Linked DNA regions of Cricetulus griseus. The protein of the gene in region 3 purifies or fractionates together with the protein of the main gene of each other region. This does not show direct contact. Links are inferred from orthologs where the notes say so. Each region holds a gene or a part of one and is shown on either strand. Other genes may lie near its edges.

Region 1 (4,018 bases), on a different chromosome or scaffold from region 3:
GAGATGGCTCAGAGGTTAAGAGCACTGTCTACCCTTCCAGAGGTCCTGAGTTCAATTCCCAGCAACCACATGGTGGCTCACAACCATCCATTATGAGATCTGGTGCCCTCTTCTGGTGTGCAGATATACATGGAAGCAGAATGTTGCATACATAATAAATAAATAAAATGTTAAAAAAAAAAAAGTTTTTAATAAGCTGGGCAGTAGTGGTGAGCACTTTTAATCCCACCCCTCAGGAGGTAGAGACAGGTAGGTCTGAGTTTGAGGCCAACCTGATCTATAAAGCAAGTTGTAGGACAGCCTGGGCTGTTACACAGAGAAACCCTGTCTCAAAAACAAACATACAAAAAGGGTTCAAAAAAAAAAAAACAACAACAACAACAAAAAGACCCATAATCTACAAGTCTGAATAACTGGCTCAACAGTTAATAAAACACATTGCTCTTACAGAGGAACTGAGTTCAGTTCCCAGAACCCATGGAAGGGTTCACAACAGTCTTACTCATCCAGTTCTACGGATCAGTTCTCCGCTTCTAGCCTGCACAGACACTACATACAGGTAGTAGGCATATATCATACAGGCAGGCAAAACACTCATCCACATAAAGTAAAAATAAATCTTTAATAAAAATTTCCACCTGGTGGTGACACACAACTTTAATCCCAGCACTCAGAAGGCAGAGGCAGGTGGATCTCTGACTATGAGGTCAGCCTAGTCTACAGAGTGAGTTCCAGATAGCCAGGGCTACACAGAGAAACCCTATTTAAAAAAAAAAAAAAAAGACAGATGTAGGAGGTCAAGGACAAAAGCAAGCCAATTAGGAGACTACTCAATAATCCACTAGAAATAGACTTCTGGGGCTGGAGAGATGCTCAGAGGTTAAGAGCACCAGTTGCTCTTTCACAGGACCATGGTTCCATAGCCCCAGTGTGCACATAGCAGCTCACAGTGCTTGTAACTCAGGGGTCTGAGGCCCTCTTCTGGATTCCACAGGCACTGAATGCACATACTGCATAAACATACATGCAGGCAAACACCCACACACATAAAATAAAATAAATAATAATTGAAAGAAAAATGAAAACCATGCATACTGGTTTATGCCTCCAAACCCAGCACTCCACAGTCTGAGGCAGGAGGAGGAATGCCACAAATTCACTCCTAGTCCAGGCCACATAGTGAGTGAGTTTGAGGCCAAACTGGGCCACAAGAAATAAATAGGTTAGAGAGGCTGGCAATGGCTCAACAGTTAAGAACACTTCCTACATAATCATGAGGATCAGAGTTCAAATCCTAGCACTGTGATCTAACAAGCCAGGCACACCACAAACACCTCTAAATACCAAGGGTCTCTATGCATGCATAGGTGTGGCCTCTAGGCATGTGCGCACACACACACACACACACACACACACACTAACATATAAACAAAATAAAAAATTTAAAAGTTAGAAACGCATTATGCCAAGAAAACCTCAAGGTCTTCTAAGGAGCTGAGGGGCTAATTCTGATTATCATGAACTTTTGTGCTAGGTCTGGTCTATGAGGCTTTCAGTGACTTACCATGGGTCCGGTTGTCTACTTAAAAAGGGATTTTTCACCCGGGCAGAGGTAGCCCATGCCTTTAATCCCAGCACTTGGGAGGCAGAGGCAGCCGGCTCTCTGTGAGTTCAAGGCCAGCCTGGTCTACAGAGTGAGTTCCAGGACAGCCAAGGCTACACAGAGAAACCCGGTCTCAAAATAATAAAATAACAGAATTCTTCAACTGCACAGACACCCACCATATTCTGAATTACCTTATTCTCCCCAGGGGCCATGTTCTCATAGATTTCCTTCAGTTTGCCATAGTGTGGACGAAGAAATTTTAGAGGCTTGGGTACTGAAGTCATGGAAGTTGTAGAAGAACGAATCTGTCTTCTCAGTTCCTCCAGGGCTGGTCGGTATAGGGATGTATCCTTCTCCTGATCAGGGGATGTCAGGGTTCAGACCAAAAGGAGTCACATTTCTCCATATCACAACCATAAAGACATAACTGGTTCCTATTCCATGATTCCTAACTCCTGTAAATTGCCTGAGACACAGGACGCTATTCAAATATCCTTTGTAACTCTTTTCCCTGGCATCATCATATCTAATATGTGATACCTAGTCGTTGCCTCAAAATGATACAGAGCAAACAAGTGGGAAACATCCAAATATACTCCCCGCTCAGGAAACATCTTGACTCACCCCGAGTCGCTCCACGAGCATCTCCAGTTCATCTTGAAGTTGTTTGTCCTCCTCAGACTGGAAGGTTGAAGGAAGAAGCTCATTAACCCTAATCACATTCTCCTCCCATTCACCCCGGGACAGGTGGAGAGTGCGAATGCACCCCAGGAGGGACAGATGGACAAGAGATGGGAGCAGGACCGGAAGCAACCTTGCTGGAAAGGCAGTCTAGAGCCAGGTAGGCTCTGCTTGGAAGCCGTTCCAGGGTATTATGGCAAAGACCCAGGAAGAGTTGGTGAGGCCCGCAGGGGATGGCAGTGCGTAATGAGGGGGGCATAAAAGCAACGTCTCCCTTTTCTGTGTCTCCCGGCTGCGGTGGGCCGTAGGGAGTCGGGCCCGAGGCCTTCGAGCCAGCAGTGACTCAGCCCGAGGCCTCTTCTCCATGCTCCCGAAGCTGAGCCTCACCAGCTCCTGCTCTTTGTCTTTGTCCCCGGCATCCCGCCGCTCCTTGCCGCTCGACTTCTCGTCCGCGCCAGCCGGGGCCGTCGCTGAGGGTTGTTGGGACTGCACCGGCGTCTTGTCTCGTCCACCCTCCTCCATCTCGGCCACCACTGCCGGCCCGCTGCGCGCGCACCTGCTCGCACCGCCCCTTTTCCCAGACGGCCTCGCGCGTCATCCTCCAGACCGGAAACGCCCAGCGGATTCCGGGCCCCGCCCCCTGAGGCAGGCGGGGTATTACAGTTCCGGCCTCTGGCGCTGGGGACTGCTGTGGCATCTCGACGTCTCTGAGCTGTTAAGAAAGTGCTCAGTGGCGAAACCTAGCTCTCTTCTCCCGTGGCTTCACCACAGCTGGTGCGTGGTGCGACAAACGGACAAGACTCTCGGCGGAGATCTGTGACGGCAGTGTGATTATGTCTAGCCTCACACCATTGTGGAATAGTAACCGCAAAACACACACACACACACCCCGCAAAACACACACACACACACATACACACACACACACACACCGCAAAACACACACGCGCGCGCACACACACACACACCGCAAAACACACACACACACACACACACACCCCCGCAAAACACACACACACACACACACCGCAAAACACACACACACGCACGCACGCGCACACACACACACACACACACACACACACACACACACACACACGCCTCAGTTGAGTGAGTGATACTACCTGAAGCTTACGTGTTTATTAGTACAGGCTAGCCTCAGACTCGCTATATAGCATGACTTTAGACCTCATGGTGCGGCCTCTGCCTAGGGAGTGCTGGGATTACAGGCATGAGCCAGCACCCCTGCTACTGCTCATCTTTAAAACCTATCACTTTTGCACTCAGTGCAGGATTCTACGCATAACCATCCCTTTCCACTGTCAACGACTTCTCCAGCCTTTTGACAGAAATTGGACAGCCCGTGGCTGCTCTGCCTGTTCTGTCTTTAGGATGTCTGTACATTTCCATGCTTGCTTTAGTTCTCTGTAACGAATTTCTACCAGTTCAGTCAGTCGCATACCAATCGATATGTTGGACCTGCACTGGATATTGTGCCATAAAACAGTTTGTCTAACAGCTGATGAGTCCAGATGACGAGTATATGAAAAGTTGTCGGGATATATTACAACTTTTTTGTAAGTATAAATTGTTTTGAAATAAAAACTTGAAAAGATGGGGGAACTCAAACTTTAGAAGTTTATGATACTAAAACCAAATTCTGCCATGTACCAGCTGTGTTCTTTGATTAAGCTTCCTAAATTCAGCCTATTTTCACCTATGTGAAATACA
Region 2 (3,971 bases), on a different chromosome or scaffold from region 3:
ACCCAGTATGTGTAAGTCTAGGAAATGGATCCCTGGCCCCAAGAAAATAAAATAAAATGTGCATAATAGCCTGGCATAGTGAGACACATTTTTATTCCCAGAACTTTCAAGGCAAAGGCAGGTGGGTATCTGTGACTTTGAGTCCAACTTCTCTACAAAGTTCTAAGGGTGCTGAGTCTACAGAGAGACCCTGTCTCAAAAAGAAAGAAAAAAAGCATAATCCAAATATTTGATTTCAAGTAATATCTTTATTCTCATTACTTTACTGGAGGTTTTTCAGGGTTGATTTTGTCAGGCTCTTTGTAAAATTGTGTGTGCGGTCAACTCCAGGCCTCTGGCATGCTACACTCCTGCCCCATACTAGGCTTTGCTATGCTAGTATTATTGGCACAAGCTACTAGCTCTTACTTTTTTTTGTTTGTTTGTTTTTGTTTTTTTTTTGTTGTTGTTGTTGTTTGAGACAGGGTTTCTCTGTGTAGCTTTGGAGCCTCTCCTGGCACTCGCTCTGGAGAGCAGGCTGGCCTCGAACTCACAGAGGTCTGCCTGCCTCTGCCTCCCAAGTGCTGGGATTAAAGGCCTGCGCCACCAACGCCCGGCCCTAGCTCTTACTCTTTATAGTCAATGAGTAACAATTTGATTCCCTACGACTAAGATTTCAAGAGCTATGCCATCTTCTTCCAGTGATTTCTGAATGAGAGAGATGGTTCAGCAGTTAAGAGCACTTGCTGCTTTTGAAGAAGACCCATGTTTGGTTCCCAGCACCCGTAGTGCAGCTCAAACCCTTTGCAAGTTCAGTTTCAAAGGATCTAAATCCCTCTCTGCCCTCTGTAAGCACCAGGCACGATCATGATGCATTACATATATTCAGGCAAAACACTCACATTCATAAAAAATAAGCAAAATATGTTTAAGAAACAAGCTATTCTGAAAATACTGTGCTCTTCCATGCTTTCATCTATACTAGGAAAAGTTAACATCTAGTTCAAAGTTACTGTAAATTTGTTTTATTTTACTTCCTCTCAGACCTCCATCTTATTTTAAATCACCCATCCAAAAACATTACATAAAAAGGTAACAAAAAATAAGTTATTTCACCAAAATTACAGACAAATCACTCTCAGTTTCCTTTCAAAATTTAGACCTTGTAAACTTTAAAACGGAGGTGTGAGGGCTGGAGAGATGGTTCAGAGGATAAGAGCACCGCCTGCTCTTCCAGAAGTCCTGAGTTCAATTCCCAGCAACCACATGGTGGCTCACAATCATCTGCAATGAGATCTAGTGCCCTCTCTGACCTGCAGGCATACATGTAGGCAGAACACTGTATAATAAATAATTCTTTAAAAAAAAAAAGTTAAAACATTAAAAAAAAAAAAACAATGGAGGCGTGACAGTACATGTCTTTAATTCCAGAATTTCACGAGTCAGGGGCAGGTGGATCTCTAAGTTCAAAGACAGCCTGGTCTACATGTGAGTTCTAGGAGGAATATGTAAAGGGACCCTGTCTCAGAATTTGTATGAGTCAATCAGGCATGCTGTTGTTCCTAAAACCCCAGCACTTGAGAGGCTGAGGGAAGACAGTTCTGAATTCAAGACAACCATGGGCAATGTATCCAGTGCTAGTCCAGCCATGACTACATAGTGAGCCTTGTCTCAAAAACAAAGAAAAGGCAACAAAGCAACAAGAACGTGGGAATATCATCTAGGGTGATGGAAATCCTGGCACCCAAGAAGCCAGGACAAGCACAAAGACAGCCTACCAAGCAAAACCCATCCTCAAAAAAAAAAAAAAAAAAGGGGGGGGGGGAGAGTGACAGGGAGGTGGGATTTGAAGGAACTGTTTTAAGGGGAAAAAAAAAGGATAGATGTTAGTGTTTCACACAGAATTTCAAAAGCATTTCTCCGTTGTTGATTCTGATACTAGTTTACCAAACCGAAGTTTAAGCCTTAAAAAGAAAATCAATTCATTTGAAACTTTTCATTGCCAAGAGGATCGCACGCATTCAACCCTCTCCTTCTTTCTTGCCGACATCCCTGACTTCAGTCGCCCTCCAGTTTTCTGCTCCCACTGCGAGCTTCAGCTAACGCTTGGCGGTTTCCCTCGCATCACCGCTCACACAGACGACCAAGTTGTCATTGCTATAATTACCACACCCCCGTCAGCAGCTCCAGGCCCGCGTAGTTATGACATCTGTAAACTGCAGCCTCCCGTCTCCACCCCCACCGCCTCCCTCCAAACACCGGCCCGGGCGGTAACCTGCCAACTCCCGGAACGGCCCCGCACGCCTGGGCCTCGGCCACCGCACCCCGCGACACCCGCCTCCGCCCCCGCCCTCAGCCTAGCGCGGCGCGCAGACTCCGCGCCGCCGCCCGGCGCCCCGCAGTCCCCGACGCCGCTTCCACCGCCGCCCCGCCCCGACCGGCGTTCCCCACCCCCACCCCGCTCCTCCGCCGCCGCCGCCGCCGCGCGGGCCGTTAGAACCGCCAGTCCCGTGACGCACCGGAGCGACGCGAAGGTCCGGTCCCCGGCGCGACAGCGACAGCTCCCGGCCGGCGCCCGCGTCCGCCTTCGCCCCGGGGCCTCCCTCGGGTCCCCGGAGGGAACCAGAGCCGCCCGCCGAGGGGGAGGGGCCGCGGGGAAGCCCCCCACTCACCGGCTCCAGGCGACCGGTCCCGGTGCCGCCGTGAGGGTGAGACGCTCGCTTCTTGTCGGCCCGCTGCGCCTCTTCCGCGCACAACCTTGACCGGCCGGCGCGCACCACGGCGGCGCTCACCAGGCCTCGCTCTCGCCGCCGCCCGCGCCGCCGCCGCGCCGCCGCCGCGCACCGAGCCGCGAGACCCAGCTCAGCCGGCGTGCGCAGTGCGCCTGCGTGCGGGGGCCGGCCTGCGCGCCTGCGTGCGCCTTTCCGCCGCCCGCCGCAGGGGCTGCCGGGAAGCGGAGTCTCTGAAGCGTTCTTTCCCGAGTGGACGCGGCCAGGGCGTGGGTCTCTGAGAACGAGGTTTGCAGTCCGGAAAAGTAAAGACACGTACAAGTTATGGAGACAAACGTGTCCTTACTAAGCTCTTCTAGAATGGACGGATACCGCCCTCCCCACACACCTCACATCTCCATAGCCACCCTCTCACATGGTAGGTGCCTCACACACCGAGCGCGCTTATTGGATGAACGATGGCATGGTTGGAGGCTGAGGGAGTATCGCGAAATACGTCAGTGCCTCACGTTCAAAGAATTCACACGCCACTCGTTTGTGGGAACCTTCTGGGTATTCTCTTCGGCTCTCTCCCATTTTGCCTAGTAATTTATTAGTCCCATAAAACATTAACAAAATAATTTTTGAGCCTGGATCGTTAGCACACCACTCAGCACTGGGACGGCTGAGGCAGGAGAATGGCAAGTTCTAGACCGGCATGACTACTACGTAGGAACACCTTGGCTCGATGATGTTAATTTTTAGTAAAAACATTGGCATTGATCTGAGTAAGTTCTCTCAAACAAAATGTTTAGGAAAATGATTGTTTTTCTTTCTGGAGAGTAGGGTTGTGGCTTCAAAAGAACACCTTAAGCAAGCCAAGCAGAGGTCACTGAAGAATTTCACACACAGGACATGGTTTAACGAGTCTGTTTAAAAGGAATACTGAAGAGCAACAGACGGCGTCAACACCCTTATAAATGTAAGAAAGAGGGAGACAAAGGACCACACTGACTGAATCCTAGGTAAAGCAATGGTCGTTTGTCTTGGCTCCAGTGGCGGTTTTAATAACCTTAACACAAACTAGAGTCACCTGGTAAGAGGGACCCTGAATGGGAGACTGGTTCCCATCAGATTGGCCTGTGGGCATGTCTGTGAGGCATTTTCCTAACTCATGATGTGCCCAGCCCACTGTGGACAGTGCCACCCTTGGGCTGTATAAGATAGTAAGCTGAGAATGATAGAGTAACCACATTTCCTCCATGGTCTGTTTCAGTTACTGCC
Region 3 (4,073 bases):
AAATAGTCCTGGATGTTGTGGAACTCACTCTGTAAACGAGGCTGGCCTCAAACTCAGAGAGCTGCCTGTCTCTGCTGGGATTAAAGACATGGACTACCAATGCCCAGCTACAGGCTAGTCTTAAAATCACAACAATCGCCGGGCAGTGGTGGTGCATGCCTTTAATCCCAGCACCTGGGAGGCAGAGGCAGGAGGATCTCTGTGAGTTCAAGACCAGCCTGGTCTACAAGAGCTAGTTCCAGGACAACCTCCAAAGCCACAGGGAAACCCTGTCTGGGGAGGTGGGAGGGGGGGAATAACAACAATCCTCCTGCTTCAGCCTCCTAATTGTTAGGTTACAGGCTGAGCCACCACACCCAGAGTGTGCTTTTTTTTCTGTTAAGATCGGTCACAACTTTCACTGATTTCCCAAGGACATTAATGTTAAACATTTGAATATCCAATTAAGTCAAGTATGTTGGCTCCTTTCAGTTAGGAGTGTGAGGCCGAAGAACTGCTACAAATCTAAACCTAGTAGGGCTACATAGTAAATTTCAGGCCTGTTTGCAATATGAAGCAAGGCTTTGTCTCAAAAAAATAAATGTTAGGCTAAATTTAGTTGTAATATTAGCCCTTTAAAATTGATTATTACTATTATTTTACACACACACAGAGAGAGAGAGAGAGAGAGAGAGAGAGAGAGAGAGAGAGAGAGAGAGAGAGAAAACAGACTAGAATTTGCATTTAAGATTTTCTATAAGCTAGAGATGGCTCAGCAATTAAGAGCACTGGCTGCTCTTCCAAAGGACCAGTGTTCAATTCCCAGCACCCACATGCCAGCTCACAACTGTCTGTAACTCCAGTTTCAGGGCATCCAACATCCTCACACAGACATACATGCAAACACCAATTCAAATAAAATAAAAATAAGTTGTTTTTAAGTTTTCTACAATTGCATTCATCCCAGCACTTTGACAGTGGAAATCTGAGATCAGAGTTCAAGGCCAGTCTGAGCTACAATGAGACCCTGTCACAAAACAAAACATAGTATAACACAGATTCTGTAATGGGAAGCGTCCTCACTAACATTCTTTAGAAACTAGCATATTAGCTGGAAAGATGGCTCAGGGGGTAAAAGGTATTTGTTTCCAAGCCTGATGACCCAAGTTCTATTTCTAGGATACACATACTACAAGACAACTAAAATCTGAAAGTTGTCCTATGACCTCTACACAAATGCCAAGGGGACTGCCCTCCTCCCGTGTAGTAGTAGTAGTAAATAATAATAACTAGTGCCTTATTCTATGCTGAACCTGGCAAATCAGAATGTTTAATATATTGATTATGCTAAAGTGTTTAAGAAAATGTTCTAACCAGATGTGGTGGCACATGGCTTTAATCCCAGCACTCAGGAAGCAAAGGTGGGATTTGTGAGTTCAAGGTCAGGCTGGTCTACGAAGCTAGTTCCAGGCCTGCTAGAGTTACAGACCAAGAACCTGTCTCACAGTGGGATAGAAGAAGAAATAAGTCAAAAAAAAAAAAAAAAAAAAAAAAAAAGAATCATCCGGAGGTAAAAGAAAGCTTTCTAGCTTCAATTTTACTGTAGGAATAAGCCAAAACATAGGAAGACATATTTAATAACTCACCAATCACTAAATTCCATCTTGGGAGCAATGTTAATGATTAGCAACGAATCATTTTTAAGGGTAGTAAAGTTTTGCCTGTATTAAAAGGTAAGCCACTAGCTGAAAAAACGTAGTCACAAGCGTTCATAGTACAGACTACTTTAGTACGAGCACAATAGGTAAGGTTATTCTCTGACGACAGAAAACAGGGGCAGCCTATGGACATGTGGCCTCTTTGGGGCCGAAAGAGTGAGCGCTTCAACCACGGGGGCACTCATTTGGGAAACGCGCCCAAAAGCAAAGTTCATATAAAGATCTGCGGTGCACTATATACACATCTGTAAAGTATGCCTAAGCAAAGGACATTTTTTAAAGAGGACGCTACTTTAGTCACTGATAATAAAACCAAAGCCTCTGTTCCGGGAAGCTCTAGCATACGATGACCCCACTCTCCGGGAGAAAGCAGCCCATGAAAAAAAGAAAAAAAAAAAAAAAAAAAAGGACTGACGATCCCCAATCCCTTGGGAGCTTTCGCCACCGCTTTAGCTCCGGTTCTGCTATCGCCACAGGCCCCCGAGAACACAGCAAGTCACCAAGACCCCGCTTCGCCCGGGCTGGCTCCGATCACAGGGCTTGCTCGCCCTTTGCGCTGCACCGGCTACCAACGCGCTCGGCCACCGAACACCGGCCGACAAGGACGCTGTCGACGAGCAAGCGGAGACTGTGTCACCCCGCTCCCGGGGTCCCTCGACCCTCCACCCAGCGCACTACACGCCGGGGCCGGGCCGCGCAGCCAGCAGGCGCCGCTGTGGCGCCGCCTTCACAACCAACAGCTTCCAGCCACCTCGATGCTTCCCGTCTAAAGCCTCGCAAAGGGGGGTGAGGGCTTTCCGCGCAGGCGCGCCCCTGACGCGGCCCGCGCTCGCCACTTCCGCCCGAACGGGAGGCGGGGGAGGCGACACGGAGCCGGCAGGCGCGAGCTCGGATCCTCGGAAGACTCAGACCCCGCGCGGGCCAGAGACTCACCAAGTATAACGGCTGCCAGCGACACTGAGCATCCAGTTCCTCGAACTCCTCCTCGATGGTGGCCGACATGGCGGCGGGAGAGCGCGAGCGAGAGCGGAACCACCACAGCAGAGCGGCTCGGGCCCCGCTCTATCCGGGGAGAGCGCTGGCGCTGTGGCGCTGTGGCGCATGCGCGCTCCGCTCCCCGCCCCGCCCCCACGTTGATCCGAGCCGGCCTTGGGGAAAGTACCTGGAGCGTCGGACGTCAGCGCGTCGCCTGGGCGCCGCGTGTGTTGGACGTCTCGGAGGAGGGGCGATCGCGAGGGGGCGTGGTCCGGAGAGTGCCCAGGTGGGAGGGGCGGGGCCGGGCGCCACCCTGGAACTACGTTGAACGGTGTCTGCCCGGGGAGGTGAGAAAGTTCCTTGGAATGTCACCGGCCAGCTCTGTCTTCCTCGCCGCTCCAGTTCTTTTTCTTCTTAGTCTTCAAGTTTTTTTTTAATGCAGTATGAGTTCTATTTAAATACCATCTAGGTTAGTCTAATAGCATGTGTTCAACTTTGGAACACGTTATGGTGATGTCATCCCGGATAAGTTTTGTGCCAAACAAAGCTCTATAGGAAAAGAGAAAGCATTTGGGAGAGTGTCTTGTTTAGAATAAGACTCACAGCTCCAAAGTTAGTGTTGTCTGTTCAAAGCACATCTAAATCCCCTTCTACGAAATAGATGCCTGGCTCCGGAAATCGTTTTGCCTCAGCTTTGTGATAACTCAATGTTGGTGAACTCATGTGCTTAAAAATCTTACCATCTGATAATCTTCAGAAATATGAAGGATGCTTCTGGGCCTTTTCACTAGATCTACAATTAACTCAGCTAAGAAATTATGAATTCGGTGAAGCTCCGTGTTCATCCCCCAGCACTGAGGGCGAGGAACAAAAGCCCTAAATACAGCGATCCCATTTCTTGGTGTCCATCCGGCACTTTTGCTCATAGCCTCATGTGGCTAGTGACTGCCTTCCGTGGCCTAAGGCACAAGTAGGTCGTTTGTGTCATCCAAGAAGATTATTTGGTTTTGGATGTTTGGGGTTGGGTTGTTTGGTTTGGGGGGGGGTGGATTTTTTTGGTTGGTTTGTTTTGTTTTGAAATGGTTTCAAAAAGCAGCCCAACCTCCAACCTGGGATCCTACTGCTTCTACATCCTAAATGCTGGGATTTGTTTTTGGTTTTTTTTGTTTTTGTTTTTCGAGACAGGGTTTCTCGGTGTAGCTTTGGAGCCTATCCTAGCACTCGCTCTGGAGACCAGGCTGGCCTCAAATTCACAGAGATCCACTGCCTCTGCCTCCCAAGTGCTGGGATTAAAGGCGTGCGCCACCAAAGCCCAGTTTTTAGAGACAGGGTTTCTCTGTGGTTTTGGAGGCTGTCCTGGAACTAGCTCTTATAGACCAGGCTGGTCTCAAACTCACAAAC

What was found. The genes of interacting proteins can lie anywhere in the genome.
Region 1: the proteins of Ptpn2 (region 3) and Psmd2 purify together in Homo sapiens (affinity purification with mass spectrometry; 3 studies listed by BioGRID and IntAct, with this or other methods). This does not show direct contact. The link is inferred for Cricetulus griseus from reciprocal best matches to the Homo sapiens genes PTPN2 and PSMD2.
Region 2: the proteins of Ptpn2 (region 3) and importin subunit alpha-5 purify together in Homo sapiens (affinity purification with mass spectrometry; 3 studies listed by BioGRID and IntAct, with this or other methods). This does not show direct contact. The link is inferred for Cricetulus griseus from reciprocal best matches to the Homo sapiens genes PTPN2 and KPNA1.

Annotation. Positions count from the first base shown.
Region 1 is NC_048597.1:67,993,232-67,997,249, forward strand, and holds the start of Psmd2 (26S proteasome non-ATPase regulatory subunit 2), read right to left. Parts: upstream 2,810-4,018; coding exon 2,675-2,809; intron 2,288-2,674; coding exon 2,231-2,287; intron 1,963-2,230; coding exon 1,798-1,962; intron 1-1,797. UniProt on the Homo sapiens protein: Component of the 26S proteasome, a multiprotein complex involved in the ATP-dependent degradation of ubiquitinated proteins.
Region 2 is NC_048597.1:53,691,084-53,695,054, forward strand, and holds the start of importin subunit alpha-5, read right to left. Parts: upstream 2,810-3,971; 5' UTR 2,652-2,809; intron 1-2,651. UniProt on the Homo sapiens protein: Functions in nuclear protein import as an adapter protein for nuclear receptor KPNB1. Binds specifically and directly to substrates containing either a simple or bipartite NLS motif.
Region 3 is NC_048595.1:171,691,515-171,695,587, reverse strand, and holds the start of Ptpn2 (tyrosine-protein phosphatase non-receptor type 2), read right to left. Parts: upstream 2,808-4,073; 5' UTR 2,700-2,807; coding exon 2,631-2,699; intron 1-2,630. UniProt on the Homo sapiens protein: Non-receptor type tyrosine-specific phosphatase that dephosphorylates receptor protein tyrosine kinases including INSR, EGFR, CSF1R, PDGFR.